Linked DNA regions of Rattus norvegicus. The protein of the gene in region 2 interacts with the protein of the main gene of each other region in a pairwise test. Links are inferred from orthologs where the notes say so. Each region holds a gene or a part of one and is shown on either strand. Other genes may lie near its edges.

Region 1 (2,317 bases), on a different chromosome or scaffold from region 2:
CCCCACATACACACACACCACACACACATACACCACACACACATACACCACACACACACACACACACTCACCCCACCACACCCCACACAATACAGACACACACCACACCACATATACCCCACACACACCATATACAAATCACATACACACACCCCCCACACCACATACACACATACACCACACACAGACCTACACATACACCACATACACACATATACCACACACAGACCTACACACACCACACACACACCCTATATACACACACATACCACATATACCACATACACAGACACACATACACACCCCACAACACCCCCACATACACACACACCACATACACATACACCACACACATACACACACACACACACACACACACACACACACACACACACACAATCAGGAGGCTGAAGCAGGCAAATGGCAAACTCCGGATCAGTTTGGGCTACACTGCTACACCATGAGACCAGTTGTCTCAGGAAAATAAAAGAACCAAAACCAAAACCAGCAGACCCAGCAGACCCAGCAGACCAGCAGACCCACCCTATCGCGTGTGACTGCCTCAGCAGGTTCTCTCTCCTGCCTCAGCTTGGTTTCCCCTCTACTTGTGGGGTGTGGGGAGTGGGTTGCTCTCTTGGGACCCAGGCTGTTGTGGGGGGTAGATAGGAAGGGATCCCTTGGACTCAAGGCACAAAGGGGATGAGAGGGGAAAGGGAAGGCGGGGACAAGAGAGATACCTTTCTAAGGCCCCGGCCTGCCCAGCTTGTGTAGGGCCGTCCCTGAGGCTTGGCGTGGGCGCTGCTCAGATGTGAGTACAGATGGCTCCCAACTTGCAGAGGGTTGTAGGTGAGCCCCAGCTCCAGGCTGTCTAGTGTGCTCTGGGGACGAGAGGGGGGAATTTATTCAGGGAAGTCAAGGTCACAGAACACGAGATGCCACATAGAGACCTGAGTGTGTGAGAGACTGGAAGAGGGCGAGGACATGGGTGCTGTTGAGGCTGAGACAGATGAGTCCTACTGTTCTGTCCCGGGAGGCAGGGTATGCTTGTGTCAGGCGAAGGGACAGAAGAAAGTGGAACATCTGGTGGTCAGAGACTCTGAACCTCCTAATACTAGCCCCAGGAAATGTCACTGGGTTCTGAGAAAAACCAGAGCTCCCCAGAATGGTACAAGGGACCCAGTGTGGAGGGCTGAGGGAGAGTGTGTGTTCAGGTAGGGGTGCTCTAGTCCTCAAGACAAGTACAGGGAGTTCCCAGCCTGAGGTGAGTCGGGCATGGAAGGAGGACATTTGAACATAGCATTCCTGAGTAGTTAGGTTTTCCGGCCACAACATCCTGTGCCAGGAACCACTGGCCCTGAAGTGAGACTGGCTGAGGAAGCCATGGCGCTCCTGCCCACCTCTTTGCATTCCCATGGCTGCCAAGCATCAAGCACAATCCCAGCCTCTGTCCTGTCCACTCTCAGCCGGCCAGCCAGCAGTGAATGTGGCTTCCATTCTCCCGGTCCAGAGCCTCCTCCTCTCCCACCCCAACCTGGGGGGCCCAGAGGGAGGAAAGACAGAATCTAGACAGAGAGGAGAGCAGGGATGAGGGGTGGAGAAAAGGAGGGTGGCGCTGAGCAAGGCCACCCCTGCCTGTCGGCCTCTTGCGTCTGAAGTTCAGACTTCTTCCATTCCTTCTCCCCAGCAGAGGCCGAGAGCACAGGTATGCACATGTATTAGAGGAGCACAGTGTGACAGCACACAGGGTGGCCCAGCATACAGTGTGTCAGTACGTGCGTTTGTGGGGTCATCTCTAAGACAGATGACACTAATTCTCAGTTATTGGCCCATGTCAAGGCCTGTTTCTCTCTTAACTCTTTTCACAGATTCTCTTCTCGCAAACCAGGATGGCTTCTCAATTCATTTTTTCCCCAATGCCTTAATCAGACCACTGACTTCCTCCCATTTCATTTTCTGCCTTTGCTTTTATCTCTGATGGCCGGAACATACCCGTCTGCTCTCTGCTCCCCTCCCCCTCCCCCACAGCCCTATTTTTCTCCCTTGGCCCTTTCTCAAGCTCCATTCTATTTGTCCCATGGTGCAGTAGTTTAAATGAGATTGATCACCATAGACTCATATTTGCACGCTTAGTCCCCAGTTGTGAATGCTTTGGAAACGTTAGGAGTTGTGGCCTTGTTGGAGGAGGTGTATGACTGGGAGTGGGTGTTGAGGTTTCAAAAGCCCACATCAAGCCCAGTGTCACACTACCTGCTGCCCAAAGATCAGGCTGCAGCTCTCAGCTACTGCTCCAGTGCCATGTGTGTCACCGTGCTTCCCG
Region 2 (4,444 bases):
AGCCATTCTGCATTTCCCTGATGACTAAGGATGCTGAACATTTCTTTAGGTGCTTCTCAGCCATTTGATATTCCTCAGCTGAGAATTCTTTGTTTAGCTCTGTACCCCATACCCATCGTTCCAGCTGCATATATAGCAGAGGATGGCCTTGTTGGGCACCAATGGGAGGAGAAGCCCTTGGTCCTGCCAAAGCTGGATCCCCTGAGTGTAGAGGAATGTCAGAGTGGGGAGGCAGGAAGGGGAGGTGATTGGGGAGAAGGAACACCCTTACACAAGAAGGGGAGGGAGATGGGATAGAGGGCTTATGGATGGGAAACCGAGAGAGGGAATAACATTTGAAATGTAAATAAAAAATATCCAATAAAAAGCAAAACAACGGGCTGGAGAGATGGCTCAGTGGTTAAGAGCACTGACTGCTCTTCCAGAGGTCCTGAGTTCAAATCCCAGCAACCACATGGTGGCTCACAACCATCTGTAATGGGATCTGATGCCCTCTTCTGGTGTCTGAAGACAGCTACAATGTACTCATATATAAAAAGTAAATAAATCGGGGCTGGGGATTTAGCTCAGTGGTAGAGCACTTGCCTAGCAAGCGCAAGGCCCTGGGTTCGGTCCCCAGCTCCGGAAAAAAAAAAAAAGCAAAACAACAACAACAAAACCCAAATCTAAACAAAATAGACACAGAGAGACAGAGTCAGACACACAGAAACACTCAGAGATAAAAAGAGAGGAAGAGAGACAGGGAGGACAAGAACCAGAAGCAGAGTTTCAGAGAGACAGCCAGAGACAAGGATTAGAGTCTAGCAGAGACACAGGTGGAGATTGACAGAGACAGCCAGAGAGAGATTTAGAGACAGAGAGTCTAACAGAGACATAGAAACCCAGGGAGAGGCATAGACAGAGACACAAAGAAACTCTGAGAGACAGGGTCTGAGCTAGTGATGAAGATACAGAGGCAGAGATTAGAGGCAATTGAGAAGATACAAAGAGAGCAGTGGAGAGACTGCAGAGATATAGAGAGATGGAGTTGGAAACTGAGGGAGGGGAGGAAGGAGGGAGAGAGATGGAGAACACAGAGAAAGAGAGCCTGAGGTCAAAAGAAGGAGAACCATCAGGAACTACACATGTGAACTAGTTCACTCATCCAGAGTACAGATCTCTTCCCAGTTATTCTGGCTGTGTCAGGAGATTTACAAGTTCAACGCTAGCGTGGGCCACAAAGAACAACCCGGAAAGCCCTGTGCCTTTCTCTTCCCAGTCTCTCAGGAGCACTGTACACATTTCTCGGTGCTTTTGAAGACATTTCTTTCCAGATAATAGCTGATGCTGGAGGGACACCAGTTAGACCTAAGGAAAGACTTCCCCAGGAGTGGGGACTCCTGGTTGCCGGCAGGAGTTGGGCCTTCCTTCCCTCCCTTCCTCATCAACCCTAATTGCCAAGATGTCACTGTGGGGGTGGTGGCGGTGGATTAAGCAGACGGTGCCCTTCCCCCAGCCAATGTCACCTCCTGTTGCCCAGTCGGTCCCCCACCTTCCCTGGGATTACCCTTCGAGATCCAGGCCACAATAGATGACATCACTCTCAGCTCAGGCTTAAAGTCACCCCATGTGAGGGGACCTATTTCCTCTAGCCTCTGCTGTCTGATGACACCATCCAGGACCTGGGCATCCAGGAGAGCCCCCATTTCTTCTTTCCAAAGGTGAGTCTTTGCAGGAGAGGCTGAGTGGACCAGGAAGAGAGAGAGAGGGGGTGGGTGGGGGAGAGAGAGTGAGAACGAGAGAGCGAGAGAGAGCAAGAGAGCGAGAGAGCGAGAGAGCGAGAGAGAGGAGATTTTATTCTCACTCGTCCATGTTTTCTGGGCTTGGTATAGTTTGACACAAAGATGGATCTGTGATGCTTTCTGAATAAATTAAGGTAGGGTAGAGATTCCAGCAGGTGTTCAGGGAAACAGGCCACTTAGGACCATGGTTGGAGGGAGTTCAGAGGTGGAATGCACACATCCGTGTATGTGAGCATGTTTGTATGTTTGTGTGTGTATGTATGTATGTATGTATGTATGTATGTATGTATGTGTATATGTATGTATGTGTACAGCGTGTGTAAGTGTGTGCGTCCATGTAAGAGAGCATCTGTGGAGGACAGAGATAGACATATTGGGTGTCTTCCTAAATACTTCCCGTTTGCTATTTTTTCCTAGAACTCTCTATGTAGACCAGGCTGGCCTTGATCTGATGGATCTTCCTGACCCTGCCATCCAAGTACTTAAGGTTAAAGGTGTTCACCACCACACTCAGCCTATCTCAGACAATGTCTTTTACTGAACTTGGATCTCCCTTCTGAGCTGAGGCTGGCTGGACAGTGAGCCCTGTGTATCTGTTTGTCCCTGTTTCCCCAGCGCTGGGGTTATAGTGTGCCCAGCTTTTATCTGGATGCTGGGGATCTGAACTCAGATCCTTACATATGCACAGAAGGTGCTTTATGTACTAAGCCATCTCCCCACTCCCCCGCAACCTTTTAAATTTTATTTATTTATTTATTGAGAGGAAGTCTTATGGAGCATCGGGTGGTCTTGAACTTGTTCTGTAATAGAGGCTGGTCCTGAACTCCTGATCTTTGTACACCACTACTCCCACTTGTATTGTCTTTAACTCTTTGGGATTTTTCTTCTCTGTTTGTAAGGATATATATATATATATATATATATATATATATATATATATATATTATATATTATATAATATATACATTATATATCCTGTTGAGGCCAATGTGGCTAATTTCTGTTCAATGCCAGCTCAACATAGTAAACTGGAATTCTTTCTCTAAAGTTGAGAGCAGGGCTAATGTTTCTAAGAACTCAAGTTATAGATGTTGAGTTTTGAAGGGAAACACCAATATTACTAATTTTTTTGCCTCAATGACTGTAGAAACTTTTCTAGGGCCTGTGGTCATCCAAATGAAATTATAGAGACATGTGGCAGGGCATAGTGGTGTATGCCTTCAATCCTAGCATTCAGGAGGTAGAGGCAAGCAGATCTGTCAGCTTGAGGTCAGCCTGATCTACAGAGTAAGTTTTAGGTTAGCTAGGACTTCATAAACTTTATATCAAAGGGAGACCTTGTCTTAAAAAAAAATATGGGGAGTTGGATGGCTCAGTGGTTACGAGTACTGGCTGCTCTTCAGGAGGATTGGGGTTTTGATTCCAAGCACCTACATGGTGGCTCACAGCTGTTTGTAATTACAGTTCCAGGGTACTTTTCTGGCTTCTTCTGATGGTACCAGGTGTGTTTGTGTTCATAGAAATACATGCAGACAAAACACCCATACACATAATATTAAACAAAACACTAACACAATGAAAGTAAAAAAAAAAATCCTAGGAACACCAAAGTTCGATATTACTGCTGCATATTTCTCTCTCTCTCTCTCTCTCTCTCTCTCTCTCTCTTGTCACAGTCTTTTATAGCACATGCTGGCCTTGGATTTGCTATATAGCTGAGGATGACCTTGAACTTTTGATCCTTCTACTTCTACCTACAGAGTCCTAGGATTACAGGTGTGAGACTCATGTTACTGTTTCTTCTCGTGTGTGTGTATGTGTATGTGTGTAATATATGCATGGAAGTGTGTGTATCTATTTGAATATGCCTGCATATTTGGAGGCCAGAGGATAACATCAACGTTTTTTCTTCTATTCCTCCTCTGCCTTATTGCTTTGAGACAAGGTCTCTCAGTGAACTAGGCACAGGGCATTTTGACAAGGCTGGCTGCATAGCTAGCTCTTGAGACCCACCTGTTTCTACCCTTCTTAAGGCTATAGTTCCAGGCATACAAAGCCATGTCTGGCTTTTTACATGGTAGCTACAAATGTAAACACAGGTTCTCATGCTTTTGCACTTAGCACTCTTCTCTACTTAACCATTTCTACCATGCCCACCCCACCTCACTTTTGAGACAAGGGCTCATGTATCCCAGGGTAGCCTCTAACATGATAAGTAGCCTAGAATGTCATTGACCGCCCCCAGCCTCCATCATCTGAATTTTAGAATTACCGGTGTGTGCCACCATACCCAGTTTATGTGATATTGGGGATTGAACCCAGGGGCTTAATACATTCGAGGCAAGTACTGTAACCAGCTGACCTATACCCCAAGCTTCCCATTGTCATTGTTAGACAGAGTGTGCTTATGAATCCCAGGTTGGCTTTGAATTTGGATCAATCCTCCTGCCTCAGGCTATGAGTGGCATATGTGAGCAAGCCTCCACACCCAGATAGAGGGTGAGAAGGAGGGGCTGGAGAGATGGCCCAGTGGTTAAGAACACTGACTGCTTTCCTTGAGGTCCTGAGTTCAATTCCCAGCCATCACATCTGTAATGAGATTTGATGCTCTCTTCTGGTGTGTCTGAAGACAGCTGGCTGCAGTGCACTCCTATACATAAAAT
Region 3 (3,655 bases), on a different chromosome or scaffold from region 2:
AAGGTCATTTTTGGTTTAACAGGCTTTTAAATACTTACGAGAAGAAGTTAAAACGTTTCAGGGCAAGCCAATCATGGTAAGAAACATTTAAACGCATGCTAGTCTTTCTGGTGGGGGTGATTGTTGTTGGGCTTTTGTTATTGTCCTGTTTCTCTTAGAAGAGTTAAGATACAAGAGCAGGTGTCTTATAAACCTGTCGGAATTTTAAAGCATTTTCTGATTGTCCTACTTCAGAAAATTAATGCACAGAACATGAAAATATTTTGAATACAGAAGTTCTTTACACGGAAACAAAGTTTTAAAAGTGATTCACAGCCTATAATTTCGGATCTCAAAATGTGTAGTAGGAATACTTCTTTAGTGGTGATAAAGACCACTTTGATTTTTCATCCCTGTCTCAGTTGTTGTCCATTTGAGAAGGAATCGCATCAGTAGTACTTCGTGTGCTTACATTTATTTACTTTGTTGTCAGATTTCACGAAATTTGCCTTCCTACTTCTTCCCATCGTTATTCATGGTTTAGATTTGAGCAGATGGTGCAGCCTCATAACCACTGTGATCTCCTGACTCCTCCTTCCTTGTCTCTCACTGCGCATCCTTGCAGTGTAGCACTGCACACACACAAACTAGTTCTTATGAGCAAAGGCAGTCAAGGGGTCACAGCTCCTGTTTGTAACCTCACCGTTGTTCTGGAGGCTGAGTGAGAGAAACAGGCGTTTCAGGTTAGTTATATAGGTAGCTTGAGTTATATATAGTGAGTTTAAGGCAAGACTGGGTGCTTTGGAAAGACCACCTAATGAGACACCTGAGGCTCTTTCCTCCACTTTGCCTACTGAAGAAAATGGCAGTAACCAGCCAAGTTGTGCACGACTGGTGAGTATGTAAAACAGTCAGGATGCAAGTAGCTGGCACTTAAGAGAACTGTAACAGGTACTACTGGAAGAAGAACTTCACATTTAAATCTGTAGTTCCTATGGGGCAGATGATAGTATGAGTTTCCATATTCCAGATGAGTTTCATTTGCTAGTAGTCATCCATCTACCTTTGGTCTTTGTCTTTTGTTTTAAATACTATTCCCTCTGAGACTATGGAGATTCTGTTTCCTTTCTCCTACTGACTTAAAGCTTTATATTTAGGTGTTTGATAAAACATGACTAATTTTGATACACGTGCGCACACATACACGAACGTGTCTGCTTGTTGATGGAGTCGGCCACAGGTCAGAGATGTCCTGGGGGTCTTGTCCTTCTTCCTCCATCTCTGCTTCCTGTGTAACAGCTTTATTGTCCTATTTCATAGTGACTTCTTCCGTATCTTTTTATGAACCAAATAAAGTGGATAGCAGGGGTTTTTTTATTTTTAGTTAAACTTCAAGTTTTTCTTTAGGATTTACTTTTTTTTTTTTCCTTTTTTTTTCCTTTTTTCTTTTTTCTTTTTTTCGGAGCCGGGGACCGAAAGGATTTACTTTTATTATTGACTACAATAATAAAATTTATAGGTGAGTGTGTCTGCATGTGAGTATTTGAGTGTGAGTATAGGTGCCAGCAGAGTAGCAGAGTCCAGGGCACCTGTCTGTTGTTCGCTGTTTCCTATAACCTAATGCCCTCCAGTTTCATGTTATTACAGGTGCTACGATCTCCCTTTGCAGATCTAGAGACCTGAAGAGGAGCAGGATCTTTCTTAACCATTGATCCAACCCAAATTCTCTTATTTTTACTTTGTTTATTGTGGCTCTTCTCATGTCTACACTTTTCTACTGATTAAAGTTATTGTTTTCTTTTGCTCAGTTGATTCTAAGTAGAAATCATAAGATAATATAAAAAAAAAGTTGAATATATTTATTGCAAAATATACTTCATAGTTTATTATTTGTCTTCTTCCTGCTTTTAGGCAAGGATAAAAGCCATCAATACATTTTTTGCTAAGAATGGTTATCGATTAATGGATTCTAGTATGTATACTCAACCCATTCAGACTCCAACCCAGTATCCCTCGCCAGTCTTCATGCAGCCAGTGTACAATCCACATCAGCAGTACTCAGTGTATAGTATTGTGCCCCAGTCTTGGTCTCCAAGTCCTGCACCGTACTTTGAAACACCACTGGTAAGTGAGACTTAGAAAATAATAGAATATTTAGTTCAAGCTACGATTTGAGAAAAAAAATCATCTAAAAGCCAGATGCAGATGTGTTTGCCTGTAATGAGAGCAGCTGCAAGGCAGTGTTAACAGGATCATTAACAGGATCATACAGCAGACTCGTCTGCATAGCAGGTTGCACCACAGCTAGCCAGTTTGTCAACAGAATTTACGCACACAAACAAAACCCAAGAAGTTGGTCTGGTTCATTGATTCTGGATAATTATGACAGCTCTGCACTCAGTATAGACATATTGCTAAGAAGTAGGCTATTAGTGTCTACAATTTGATTCTTTACATTTTGCTAAGCGAATTAAAAAAGAAAATAAATCCTTTGTGATTCATTTATTTATTTATTGAAAGAGAGCCTTACTATGTAGCCCTGACTGTCCTAGAACTCTGTATACCTGGCTTACCTTGAACTCTGAGAGCTGCCTGCCTCTGGAGTGCTGGGACTTAAGGTGTGCTCCAGTGCCGTGTTCCCAGGTGATGGTTACCTAACTCTAGTGCTGTAAGATTCTGTCCTGAGTGTTTTGTCTGTAATGAGTGGTGTGTTGTTACAGTACAGTGAGATGAGCTGTAAGCATTGCAGAAGTGAGAATGCAGAGTTTTCTACTGACTTGTTGACTGTACCTCACTCTGGTTTCTCTCTCAACCCTCTCTGAAATATTTTAACCCTTACCATTAAATATCAACATTTTCTTCTAGGCTCCCTTTCCCAATGGTAGCTTTGTGAATGGCTTTAGTTCACCGGGATCTTATAAAACAAATGCTGCTGCTATGAATATGGGCCGACCATTCCAAAAAAATCGGTAAGATTTAAAAAAAACTAATTGAAATTTATTTTAAACAATTTCCAGTAATTGTTGAGGAATTATTGCATTCTTTTGGGAGACTTGCTATAAGTATTAATTTTTTTTTTTTTTAAGATTTATTTATTTTCTATGAGTACACTGTCGCTCTCTTCAGACTTATTGGAAGAGGGCATCAGGTCCTATTACACATGGTTGTGAGCCACCATGTCATTGCTGGGAATTGAACTCAGGACCTCTGGAAGAGTCTCTTAACCACTGAGCCATTTCTCTACCCACACGTTTGTTAATTTTTACTTTTTAAAAGTGCATGAATTATTCAGTATAGAAGTTTAAAGATGCTTCATGGTCAGAATTAATAATAGATATAAAGGGGTGAGGATTTTAGTGGTTTCTGTCTGGTCTTTTAATTTTTATTTTATTTTGTGAGTACGAGTATTTTGCCTACAGAATGCGTGTGCACCACTTTCATTTCTGTTGCCTGGGTAGTCCAGAAGTTGTTATATCCCCAGAATTGGAGTTACAGGTGATTGTGAACTACTGTGTGTATTCTGAGAGTTGAAAGACAATCAGTACTCTTAACTACTGAGCCATCTTTCCACCCCCAGTTTATTTTTTAATGTGAATTCTGGGGATTAAGTTCAATTCCTCATGCTTAGAAGGCAAGCACTTAACCAACAGAGTTTCCTCTTCAACACATAAAATTT

What was found.
Region 1: the proteins of Crx (region 2) and M1ap interact in binary tests that used the Homo sapiens proteins (3 or more experiments, as listed by UniProt). The two-hybrid records come from large-scale screens. The link is inferred for Rattus norvegicus from reciprocal best matches to the Homo sapiens genes CRX and M1AP.
Region 3: the proteins of Crx (region 2) and Larp4 interact in binary tests that used the Homo sapiens proteins (3 or more experiments, as listed by UniProt). The two-hybrid records come from large-scale screens. The link is inferred for Rattus norvegicus from reciprocal best matches to the Homo sapiens genes CRX and LARP4.

Annotation. Positions count from the first base shown.
Region 1 is NC_086022.1:117,090,516-117,092,832, reverse strand, and holds part of M1ap (meiosis 1 arrest protein), read right to left. Parts: intron 879-2,317; coding exon 738-878; intron 1-737. UniProt on the Homo sapiens protein: Required for meiosis I progression during spermatogenesis.
Region 2 is NC_086019.1:85,679,045-85,683,488, reverse strand, and holds the start of Crx (cone-rod homeobox protein), read left to right. Parts: upstream 1-1,636; 5' UTR 1,637-1,700; intron 1,701-4,444. UniProt on the Homo sapiens protein: Transcription factor that binds and transactivates the sequence 5'-TAATC[CA]-3' which is found upstream of several photoreceptor-specific genes, including the opsin genes.
Region 3 is NC_086025.1:133,010,636-133,014,290, forward strand, and holds part of Larp4 (la-related protein 4), read left to right. Parts: intron 1-22; coding exon 23-76; intron 77-1,890; coding exon 1,891-2,103; intron 2,104-2,844; coding exon 2,845-2,948; intron 2,949-3,655. UniProt on the Homo sapiens protein: RNA binding protein that binds to the poly-A tract of mRNA molecules. Associates with the 40S ribosomal subunit and with polysomes. Plays a role in the regulation of mRNA translation.